3 linked regions of the Ovis aries genome follow. The main gene of each other region encodes a partner of the protein of the gene in region 2 in a complex. Links are inferred from orthologs where the notes say so. Each region holds a gene or a part of one and is shown on either strand. Other genes may lie near its edges. The genes, in order: CETN3, NUP107 and NUP133.

Region 1 (3,752 bases), on a different chromosome or scaffold from region 2:
AGAAATGCATTTTTAATCAGTGGACAAAAATGCAAAATGTTTTAATAGAAAAGATATATTTTAAGTGTATTACCTTTAATTCATGATAATCTATTGCTTCATCTTTGTCTGTGTCAAATAGTTCAAAAGCATCTTTAATTTCTTGTTTCTGTTCTTCAGAGAGTTCTCTTCTTTTTTTCCTCTTTGTTTTGTCTACTACAAGGTCATTTCTATGGAATGATAAGAAAAAAGTCTATTTAGTCCACTTTAATCCTATTGTCATATGCTTCTAAATGATAAAATTCCAAAAATGCAACAAAAAAATTAGCCAATGAATGTTTTAAACTTCTAAAAAGTATTTTATAAAAAATTTCCTTACATGAATCAAAGCCCTGCTCAATCCATTGTCTAAGCTGCTTTAAATTTGTACCTCCCTAAAACTGAAAAGTTTTACAGTTTTAAAAGGTTATTAAAAGAAATGAGGACCTAGCTTTTCCTCTTCCTAGCTTTGTATTCATTCCCACTAATATTACTGTGGAAGAAACAAGAACTGTGAAAAAGAAACAGTTCTGTCAGAAACCCCAACAAAAAACAAACACCCATACTTATTCTCATCATTCTACAATACAGACTGTTTTAAAAAATAAGAATTCAATTCACAATTGTTGATCTCTATATATTAGGTTTACTTTCATAGTGCTTAGAATTATCAAAATTATTGCCAAAAAATCTAATTCATCAATTAATTTACAAACTATTTTGGCACAGTTTAGACTAGTATTTTTAGACTACACATTTTAAACTGGCACTTTTTTGTAATTTCTCCCATTGATATTAACAAATCAGCCAAAATAATGAACGTAAGCATACCACGAATATCAAACACCAAAAAAGTACTTAATATTTGTGGTATTTTATTTATATATAAGGTGAAGAGTCAACTGTCTCATAAATCTCAGCATGTACATCTAGACAGTTTGTCACAAACTCTGAAAAAACTTAAAGTACAAAACGTAATTTACTCTAAAAACTAGAAATGTATTCCTTAAGAGGTGCCAATATAAGCATTTCAAATTTTCATATGGGGCTTACAACACTTGTACAAGCTTTGAAACAAGAATTCTATAAACTTTAAAAATGTAAAAACCAGTTGACTTTTCTTTAATTCTGTGAAATCTACTCTAAAAAGGCAAGAGATGACTAGAAAATGACCAAATGAGGTTATGATAAAGCTCTTTCTTTCACAAGAGACCTGAATTCACAAAAACTTGGAAACTCCGGGGGTTATTCTCTTCCCAAGATTCCGACCAGACCAAAGTTCACAACCCACCGACAGTAGACCTCATTTCCTCGTCAGAACTCGCTTCCTTTTTACTGAAGCGTAACTACATAAACACTTTTAAGGTAAAACTTTTAGTTGTGGTTGGGAGAGGGAGCAACAAACAGTGGGTTAGAGGTTGGAAATGAATGAAAAGTAAAATCAGAAAATTTAGGAAAGCTAAGAGATTACCAACTAAAATCACTAAAAGGGGCCTCTGATTATACCCTTTTGCAGGGCCCCAGGAGAAAGAGGAGAGGTTTTGCGTTGTTTCCAAAATTTACGGGTAAATATGTTAGTAGGGGGCTTCCCAGGTGGCTCAGTGGGTAAAGAATATACCTGCAATGCAGGAGACGCAGGTTTGCAAGATCACCTGGAGGAAGGCAGGGCAATCCTCTCCAGTACTCTTGCCTGGAGAAACCCACACCCAGAGGAGCCTGGCGGGCTACAGCCCATAGGGTCACAAAGAGTCTGACACGACTGAAACGACTGAGCACGCATGTTAGCAGAAAGTCGGCCGAGATGGAAGCCGTGGACAAGGCACTGAACCAAGGGATGCTCCAAGGCCTGGTTTCCCGGTTTCTCGCATAAACACCGCGCATTGAAACCTCGCGATATTTCCCTGCCTCCTCAAGACTACCTCAGCCCGGCTTTTTGGCGGTCTAAAGCCAGTGCCCTGACAGAAATGACCGCCTCAGCTAAAGTGCAGAGCTCACCAGGGCCCCCAAGGGGAGGGGTCTGGGCCCGGGAACGTTGACCAAGGATCCCGTCCCTCGTCCCAAACTGCATTCCCTTCCTCGCTTCGGCCCCCAGCTGTTTCCCTTCCACACACAACCGCCCTGGGGCCCGCTGCGAGGTGTGGAGTGCATCTGCCGTCTCCTCATTACCGACCTCAGAGCTAAACTCATTTTCTCTTCGGACTGAGGCGTTCCTCTCGAGAACGATTTTAACCCCCTACCCAGAGCAGCAAGACTTCCACAAGCCGTTCGACAGACGCCAACGACCCTCAGCGGTCTCAAAAACCTCCCACAAAGCAAGACACTCCTGAGCTGGATTGGTTGAAATCGCTAACGTCCTGCCCATTGAGGCGAAAGCGTCACTTGTCCTCTGCTCTCATTGGTCTTATTTCACGTCAATCAAATAGATCTCCCTGCCGGCATCCCCTGCTACGCCTCTCCCCCTGTAGATTGGCCTGTTGCTTTCCGCCCCACCCCCACGCCCCACCCCAATCCTAGAGAAGCTAGGACTCAGGTGGGAGGTGGCGAGCTATGCTTCTGACCAGAAAGGCTGTGGCATGTGGCCCAGTGTCCGGAGACCCGGTGGAAAGGGAAGGGATGAGATACGCCGCAGGCTCTCCTCCGGCTAGAAGGAGGGAGCGGCTTTCGAACTGTGTCTGCGAAACTTGACTCTACTGTATTGTACATTTTTGGATGGTTTGAGTACATGGGGAGTGTGTTTAAAACGCAGATTTAAATATCACTCATTCTAATTTCTAGTAGGTGTGAATCTGCATTTTTTTATACAAACTTCAAATGATTCTGAAGCAGATACTGCGGATTATATTTTGATAATCACTGAGTTGGATTATTAGGCTATTTAAGGTTGAAGCTGTACCTAAGGGCCATTTGCTCCCCTATTCCTCCTTTGAACTGGTTTGTTCGTTTTTGTCCTTTATTTTCGAGTGCTGTAAGCTGCTTATACTCATGATGTTATCTTCACCACCAAACGAAGTCTCTTAAAGCTCACTTGGACATTTAATATCTTTACTGTTCATCTCTCCTACTAATCTTAAAAGGCTTATATCCTTCATTTAACACTATTCCTAGTGCCTAAAACAATGTATGATTCGTTGTAAATGTCTGATGCCTCTGCTCCGTAGATATTTGTTGCATTAAATGGAATCTTGCTGTGAAAAATCGCAAAGTACTGAGCTAAACTGCAAATCTCAAAAAGGAATGAAATAGCCAGAGAGTAGGTGTCCAGTAACAGAAGAGGGAAGATATTGATATATAAAACTGTGGCATAAATATAAAGAGATACATGTACACGTTTAGAGAAGAGAGAGAACACAGAAGGTATAAGAAAGACTTCTTGAAGGAGATGGCATATATGTTAAGCCTAGAAGGATGAGCTAAATTTGGGTAAGTAAAGATGGTAAAAACATCCACTTCCACTTTATTGACTATGCCAAAGCCTTTGACTTTCAGATCACAACAAACTGTAGAAAATTCTGAAAGAGATGGAAATACCAGACCACCTAACCTGCCTCCTGAGAAATCTGTATGCAGGTCAAGAAGCAACAGACTGGTACCAAATCAGGAAAGGAGTACGTCAAGGCTGTATATTGTCACCTGACTTATTTAACTTATATGCAGAGTACATCATGAGAAACACTGGTCTGGATGAAATACAAGCTGGAATCAAGATTGCCAGAAGACATATCAATAACCTCAGA
Region 2 (3,652 bases):
TAATTTAAACTTTTTTTTTTTTAAACCCTTTGAGGGCAAGTTGCATAATCATGTTCCATTACCTCTGAATGTTTCAGAGTTTATTTCCTAACAAAGGGATTTTTTTTCCTAATATAGTCACACTGCAGTTAATGACTTCAGAAAATTTAACAGTGATATAATACCAACATCAATGACTCAACACTGTCCTTTATAGCATCTTTTTTTCTCCAACACAGGATCCAGTTTAGAATCACATATTGTATTTAATTGTCATATCTTTTGGGGACTCATTAAAAGGTTTTTTTGTTTTGTTTTAATACAACCTTTAAAGGTTATAATCCATTTAGCTATTACAAAATACTGGCTTTACTCCCCATGTTGTACAATATGTCCTCATAGCCTACTTTACACCCAGTGATTTGTACCTCCCACCCCACAACCCCTATGTTGCTCCTCCTTCCCTCTCCCCACTGCTAGCCACTAGGGGAATCAACCCAGTATTTTTTAAAAAGTTCTCCAGGTCATTTAAATGGGCAGTTCAGAGGTGAGAGTCCCTGCTTTATGTATGTCTTACTCACTCTACTAGACTTATCTTCACCTCTACAGACTGAGTTGAATACATGAATAATTGATTTTTGGTCCAGAATTTTTAAAAATTAGATTTTACTATACTATACTGACTGAACATATTAAATGTGGAGAAATAGTTTACCCAGGAGTCAGACATTCATATATTCCCTAACTAGTATTCCAGGTTAGACTTAAATTATGGGATGTTCAGTTATAATATAGTACAAAGGTAATACAAGATCTGTAACTGCTCCTATTCAGAGAAAAAACTTAAAAAAAAAAGATGTAGCTTGTAACAATGCACAGAGCTTACCTCTCTAACATCCACCATCCACCCTCCATCAACAAACAACAAGACATTGTACATTTTTTCCTTCACATCAGCAGTTAGGGCATCCAAATGCCCTTTCCAAATACCATAATCCATCTGGAAAACAGATATAAGGCAGATATATAGTGGACTATAATATATTTGCAAAGTACAGAGATGTACATATATGGAACATCATTCTAAAGAACTGACATTCAGTAAGCCAAATACAAAATAAACATCAACAGACTGCAGTTCAATAAAACACTAAAATGTTTACCATGTAAATGAACATTATTGTCACTTGAAGGTACGTTTCATGTTTGGTTAATTATCTACAAAAAGGTAACTAAACAGATTTCTTTCTTCAAAGTATAACAGTAATAAGGAAGATCAACTCTTATAATGGGAATATAACTGTTGAAGAAATGATCTTACATATATGACTTGTATTTCTGAGATGCAATGAGACATGTCTCATCTACATTTAACTTACCTCATATTTCTTTTCTTTGTGTTCATGAGCCACTTTCTCAGTAAAAGTTGCTTGAGTTGTCAAAGTAGGTTTTTGTGGAGCTGAATTCATATGCTTAAACCACTCATTAAAGGTTTCATGGGCTTCCTAAAATGTAAAGTAAAATAGAAAAATACAAAAAATGAAAACTTTTCACATATGTTCAATACAATTTTTAAAAATTTGGTTCTTAGAATTTTGCAGTAGTAAGAAATAAAATTGTTCAATATTTCTTTTTTATACAAAAAAATTACAGTGAATAAGTATTTTGTTTGTGATATTCACGTGCTTATCTGTGTCCTTGATGAACCTATTAGCTTCCAGAGGGAAGCAAAGAAATTCAGACTCAGTCCTAAAACCTAGCTAATCACTTTATTATTTGTTGAATGAATTCTGAATGAGTATGTTGTTATTTTAGTCATAATATAGATTATCTTGCTTTTTTCAGTTGTTGCCAAAAGCAGAAATGCTAAAGTTAAGAATTCAAAGAATCTTAAGAAAACACATGGTGTGTTGGTTAACAATGATTAGAGGCTCCTGCACATGAAGACAAGGTCAGGACTTCCAAGTTTTTAGGGATCAGTGATTCCCACAGTCACAAGGGAGGTAAGATAGTAAGTCAATCACCACTTTTCAAAAAAGTAGTTTAAGGTTTGAGAGTGAATCAGGTTTGAAAGTCATCATAAAGACAGGCACTTCGTGGTTTTCTCTACAATCTCACCAAGTAAGCTCTGATGCACAAATGTTCTCGGATAGCGTTATCATCTTCAGCAGGAAGTGGGCTATCCATTCCTTGTTCCTCCCACTGGTTATAGATTTCTGCTATTGAATCCTGAGGAATTTTCACAAATACTTCTTTTGCAGCTTCGTGCTTTTTTGAGGCTGGGAAAAAGACATATAGTTTTTCAATATACGTGGATTTCTGTGTAGTGGCTTCTAAAGGAGTCAAATTATTAGTCTACAACTTTCACCGTGGCCTGTAACCATTCAGGGCCCAAGGTACTTCTTTTAAAGGTTTGGGGGATCTTTCTACCTAATGGCTGGGCTTTTCCTTATTTCAGTGTGACAGTCACATGAAGGATTAATTAAATGTAGTTACTTTTGTTTTCATTATATATTTCAATTTTTGGCTGCCCTGCATAGCATGCCAAATCTTACTTCCCCAACCAGGGACTGAATCCAAATCCACTGCAATGGAACACGGAGTCTTAAACACTGGATCACCAGGAAATCCCACAGCTACTTTCACATACTATGTCTTAAAAAAAAATTCCATTTTTCAAAACCTTGAGATTATATATAAAATTGAGTGGGACATAGTAAGTCACTATTAAATATGTTTTGTTTCACAATATCAGCCATAAAAGTGGGTATTTTGTACCTTACCCTACTGGAAGGGTTAGAAAAACAACAAAATTTAAGAACAGAAAAAAAAAAACTTTGTAAAAATAATATAAAATAGAGCATACCCAAGAATTTCCTCATTATCGCATTGCCTTGTTTTAGTGCTTCTGCTCTCTGTGCTGGGTCGAATACCAACCAGTCAATTACATCAATTTTTAATCGGTCTTCCTATTCATTTAATTGGAAAAAAAGAAATGTCAATTGTGCTTTTTCCCTAAGATATTCTACACATTAATAGAACTGGCTTACATCTGTACTACTAATGATTATTTTCCTTCAGGTTACACAAAATTATGAAAGAAAATAGCTTTTCTTGGTTTATTTTCACATTTAATAGCTCTATATCTGATGTGCCACCAATTTAATTATCTGATTCCTTTAAGTGCTATTCTACAACCTTTTCTTTCCTAGATAAAACTTTCTATTCTTTTCTGAAAATAAGGAACAATTAAACTACATAAAAATTAGTTAACTGATCAAGTATCTAGAATAATCAGATGAGTAAAAATTCAATGCTCAGGTTTTTACTATTAAAGAAGCTTCCTTTAACATAAAACTACTACTAAGCAATTCCTTACACAAGACTTAAGTTTGCTGACAATTTTTATAACTTGGCTGACAAAGAAAAACTCTTTAAAAAATAAAGAAGCCAGAGTATTTTAAAGTAGACATTTAGAAAAAGCATAACACGAGGGATTATTCAGTCACATAATACACCTCTTGTACCCTCATATTACCTCGGTAGTACCCGTATCCAAGGCTGGGGACAGGTCATGATGACTGAATTCACCATCATCTTTCTTTCGAATATTCTCAACTACAGTTTTTGTTATAGCTGCAATATCCAAATCTAAAACATTTTTTGAAGGGAC
Region 3 (3,652 bases), on a different chromosome or scaffold from region 2:
CCCCAGAACCTCCACTGAGTCAGCAGAGACGACAGCATGGAACACAACCAGCAGCAGGGCAGGCAGCTCTCAGGAGCTCCAGCTATTCGAGCAGAACAGATGATCCCTAACAAGGGCAGACAGCTAATGGGACACTCAGTGGAAGGCCGAAAACTGCCAACACTTCTGAAACGAATTAGCACTGCCAGACAGAACAAAGCGATTCAATAAGGCGGAATAATATAAGATTAGGGTTAGACACATCAGAACAGACAGCAAGGGTGCTTATTATTCTATAACAAACACCAATCTGTTTTTCCAAACAACTACCTATGCTCTGCATGACAAATGAGTTGCTTACCAGTTTTGCTTCAAATCCAAATACCGAATGTTGACCCCTTCTTTAATAGCTTCATAGTTACTTTCAGATCCCTACATGAAAATATCAACAATGTAAGCTCCTTCAGTATAGAAATCATTTCTTTTCACCTTTATATCCCCAGCACCTACTAAACTGCCTCATCCACAGTAAGTCAAACTTATTGAATGAATAATGTATGCATTTAAAAAATTAAGTAAACCAGTGAGTCCCAATACTTCTAAAGATTGAATACTCTGCTTATCTGATGACTGAAATGCGTTCTACTAAAAGAACTAGCAATTTTATATAAATAAAAATGACAGAGATGAATGTTACTGTTCCTTACCCAGATAGCATCAATAATGTTTTCCTTCAGGACTCTATTTATATCCCAACTATGTGCTTGTTTTTCTGAAGAATCATCTAATTCCCATTTACTGATGTTTGAACTTGTCAGGCTATAAAAGCTCGCTCGCTCTCTATCCCAGAGGACGCTTGAAAGCTGTATGGAGAGGAGAAAAAAAGTTTATAGATTATTAAATTCTAGTGTCAGTGATGATTTTCCTGAAATTAAAAATTCATATATTTTATAGCTATTTGATTAGTAATCCTAGCAGAATTCTTCATTTAGGATTCAGGGGAAGAAGTGATCCTGAAATAGACCTTGAGAGTAAGGAGGATTTTCACAGGCAGAAGGCCCAGGAAGAGCAGAGTAGGGAGGCAGGAAAGTCAGAGGCTCTTTAAAGAACAAAACACAGTCCTGCTAAACTAGAATGTGGATTATAGCTAGGAAAGAAGCAAAACTGAAGCTCACACACAGCATAGTCTTGAATGTCAGTTTGTAAACCAAGTAAGCTAAGGAGATAATATCCATAGCTTGTGAGCACAAGAGATTTGTTACAGGAGAAGGAATCTGGAGGGGTGTGTGTAGTTCCACACGTTTATATCACTTCATCTCCCTTGCTTCTGAAGAACACATCTAACCCAACTTAAAAATTGCGTATATGTGACTGCTGAACTAAAACCCTATTTGTCTCCACTTTTCCTGTCACTATGTCTCAAATCTAGAGAAGCTGGTAAATATTCTGCCCCATAAAGAGAGGGAGACACACATACACACACAACCAGGATTTTATACCTGGGTCTCTGAAAAAGGTGACAGTGCCATTAGAAATAGGTCAAAAGAAAAATGAGTTTTGTAAGTCAATAGGAGAGAAGAGAACACGAGCAATTTTCTTCTAGACATGTTAAAGCTTACGTTCAAAGACCATTTAAGGAAGCAGATAATGACAGCAACCTGAAATCAGAGGGAAGAGCCCCACTTCATAAAGGATGTGGTACTGCAGTACTTAGCAGGGCTAATGCAAAGGGACCTGCTGCATGGCACAGGGAGCTCTGCTCAGTGTTACATGGCAGCCTGGGTGCACGGGGAGTCTGGGGGAGGATGGCTACCCGTGTATGTATGGCTGAGCCCCTTTACTGTCCACCTGAAACTGCCACAGCATTGCTACTCAGCTATACGCCTATAAAATAAAATGTTTCAGAAAAGTCGGGGGCGGGGGAAGGTGCTCTCAGTTCACACACATGTGGGCATGCATCTGTCGCTGAGCAGTTTTGAACTTTGGGCAATTTTGGTAGCCTCACTGAGGCCATTTCCCCATTTATTTAACACAAATGGGACATGAAGCTCTATATATTACGGATCACAATTATTACAGGAGATAACACACACAGGGCTCCTGGCAGAGCAGATGCCCCACTGCTCTGTTAGTGCAGTTAGTTGAAGATGTTAGTTCCCAGCATCTTCACTCACTACTCCAGAGTCTGAGCCACAGCCCAGCAGACATCATCCACACAGACAGCTGGAGGCTCGGGGGTGGAAAGCACACTTTTGGTTACGTCTAGAAAGCAAAACTAATCCTTGAACACATTTATAACTTTACATCATAGTTTTAACTCAAAAAATGAGCTTACCAGATAATCTATAAAACTTAAGAATAATTAATGTTACAGAGGATGCAAGAGGGTTAGTATGAACTCATCTAATCATCATAATAAAAATGCCTCACTGAAAGATCAAAGTTTTCATCTCACATACACCACTGTACATACAGTGGCAACGCTAACTTCATAGGAGACTGCCAACTTACTGATTTCATTAAGAAACAAGCTAGTAAAACAGTCATTTCACCAACTTACAATGAGATCACTACTAGGAGATAAGATTCCCAGAAGAGAAGAAACCTTCCGACCAATTCCTGAGAGCACGCCTTGTCCTTGAGGCAGGACATGCTGATGGATTTTTCCTATACTTTCAGGTATCAGGCGGATTAGTTGGCCCCCCGATGAGGATAAAATAAAACTTCCTCCCTGTGAACAAATGTGAAATTAGTTAAGTATTTAAGACTAAGAAAAGAAAATGAACACAAATCACTTTGATATGCTTCGAGGGAAATTATCTGTACCTCAACATAAATCTAAAGAATAAAAAAAGAACAGTGCTATTTTTAAAAAATAATTTATGAATCCATTCACTTAATACTACACAGAAAAACTTCAGAGCCATTTTTTTAATTACTTTTTTTAAATTCTGATTTTTAAGTTATAGGTTCACATTACATAGGTTCAACAAATTAAGAATCAGATTTTATTTCTTTGGTAAACCAGCAGAATATGCATTAGCAAACCAGTCTTCCTCTAAGAGTTTCTGAATCACTCTCTAAAGATGTTTCTGACAGAAACGAATACCACTGGCTACTATGCTCCACTGACAGGTCAGAGTCCCACGAGAAGGGCTTCCCTCGGCCTAAGTGCTCAAATCCTAGACTCTTACATTCTTTCCTTGCCTCCTTTTTGATCTTCTCCCAGCCCTACCTGTATGATCTGCTCGAAATCACAAATTTTTAGTCAGCCAAACCTGAATTCCAAGCCAAATGACAGTTTCCCAATAAATATAGAAGAATATCCATCGTATACCTGTACTGCTGTTAGGAAACTATAGGTCTTATCACCTCCCAGATCTACGAACGTCTCTGTGTAGGTATCTTCACTCGCAAGGCTTGGCCAATAGCGGATGGATCCTTCTCTGGTGGCAACCATGACAGTAACAGCCTGAAACAAGATCATAACACTCAGCAAACACAAGAAAAGGAGCCCAAAGCGGCGGTCTGACGACACTGACATACAGAAACCAGGGCAATGCATTACTCATGAACAGAAATCAGGGGGAAAATTCTTTTTTTCCATATTTAAAGAATCATCATACAGTAAAACTGACATTTTCTCCTCCTGTTTAATAATTCTATGAACTTT

What was found.
Region 1: NUP107 (region 2) and CETN3 share a complex: the UniProt entries of both Homo sapiens proteins name them as parts of the nuclear pore complex. The link is inferred for Ovis aries from reciprocal best matches to the Homo sapiens genes NUP107 and CETN3.
Region 3: the proteins of NUP107 (region 2) and NUP133 are in contact, whole or in part, in a crystal structure (PDB 3CQG), measured with the Homo sapiens proteins. The link is inferred for Ovis aries from reciprocal best matches to the Homo sapiens genes NUP107 and NUP133. Residues at the interface, in NP_065134.1 of Homo sapiens: Leu875, Gln876, Ala878, Asp879, Val881, Ser882, Ser883, Glu884, Tyr889, Lys894, Leu897, Arg898, Leu900, Leu901, Gln902, Arg905, Ser908, Leu909, Leu912, Asp917, Pro918, Leu919, Tyr921; in NP_060700.2 of Homo sapiens: Trp937, Leu938, Ile941, Asn942, Gln944, Leu946, Tyr963, Ala965, Lys966, Lys968, Thr969, Leu970, Gly972, Leu973, Lys975, Leu976, Ala977, Leu979, Ala980, Ser981, Asp982, Ile992, Glu999.

The regions. Positions count from the first base shown.
Region 1 is NC_056058.1:87,600,300-87,604,051, forward strand, and holds the start of CETN3 (centrin-3), read right to left. Parts: upstream 2,333-3,752; 5' UTR 2,206-2,332; coding exon 2,189-2,205; intron 210-2,188; coding exon 74-209; intron 1-73. UniProt on the Homo sapiens protein: Plays a fundamental role in microtubule-organizing center structure and function. As a component of the TREX-2 complex, involved in the export of mRNAs to the cytoplasm through the nuclear pores.
Region 2 is NC_056056.1:151,262,208-151,265,859, forward strand, and holds part of NUP107 (nuclear pore complex protein Nup107), read right to left. Parts: intron 3,631-3,652; coding exon 3,518-3,630; intron 2,949-3,517; coding exon 2,846-2,948; intron 2,259-2,845; coding exon 2,098-2,258; intron 1,485-2,097; coding exon 1,359-1,484; intron 980-1,358; coding exon 866-979; intron 1-865. UniProt on the Homo sapiens protein: Plays a role in the nuclear pore complex (NPC) assembly and/or maintenance. Required for the assembly of peripheral proteins into the NPC. May anchor NUP62 to the NPC. Involved in nephrogenesis.
Region 3 is NC_056078.1:1,013,939-1,017,590, forward strand, and holds part of NUP133 (nuclear pore complex protein Nup133), read right to left. Parts: intron 3,452-3,652; coding exon 3,317-3,451; intron 2,711-3,316; coding exon 2,540-2,710; intron 843-2,539; coding exon 687-842; intron 412-686; coding exon 341-411; intron 1-340. UniProt on the Homo sapiens protein: Involved in poly(A)+ RNA transport. Involved in nephrogenesis.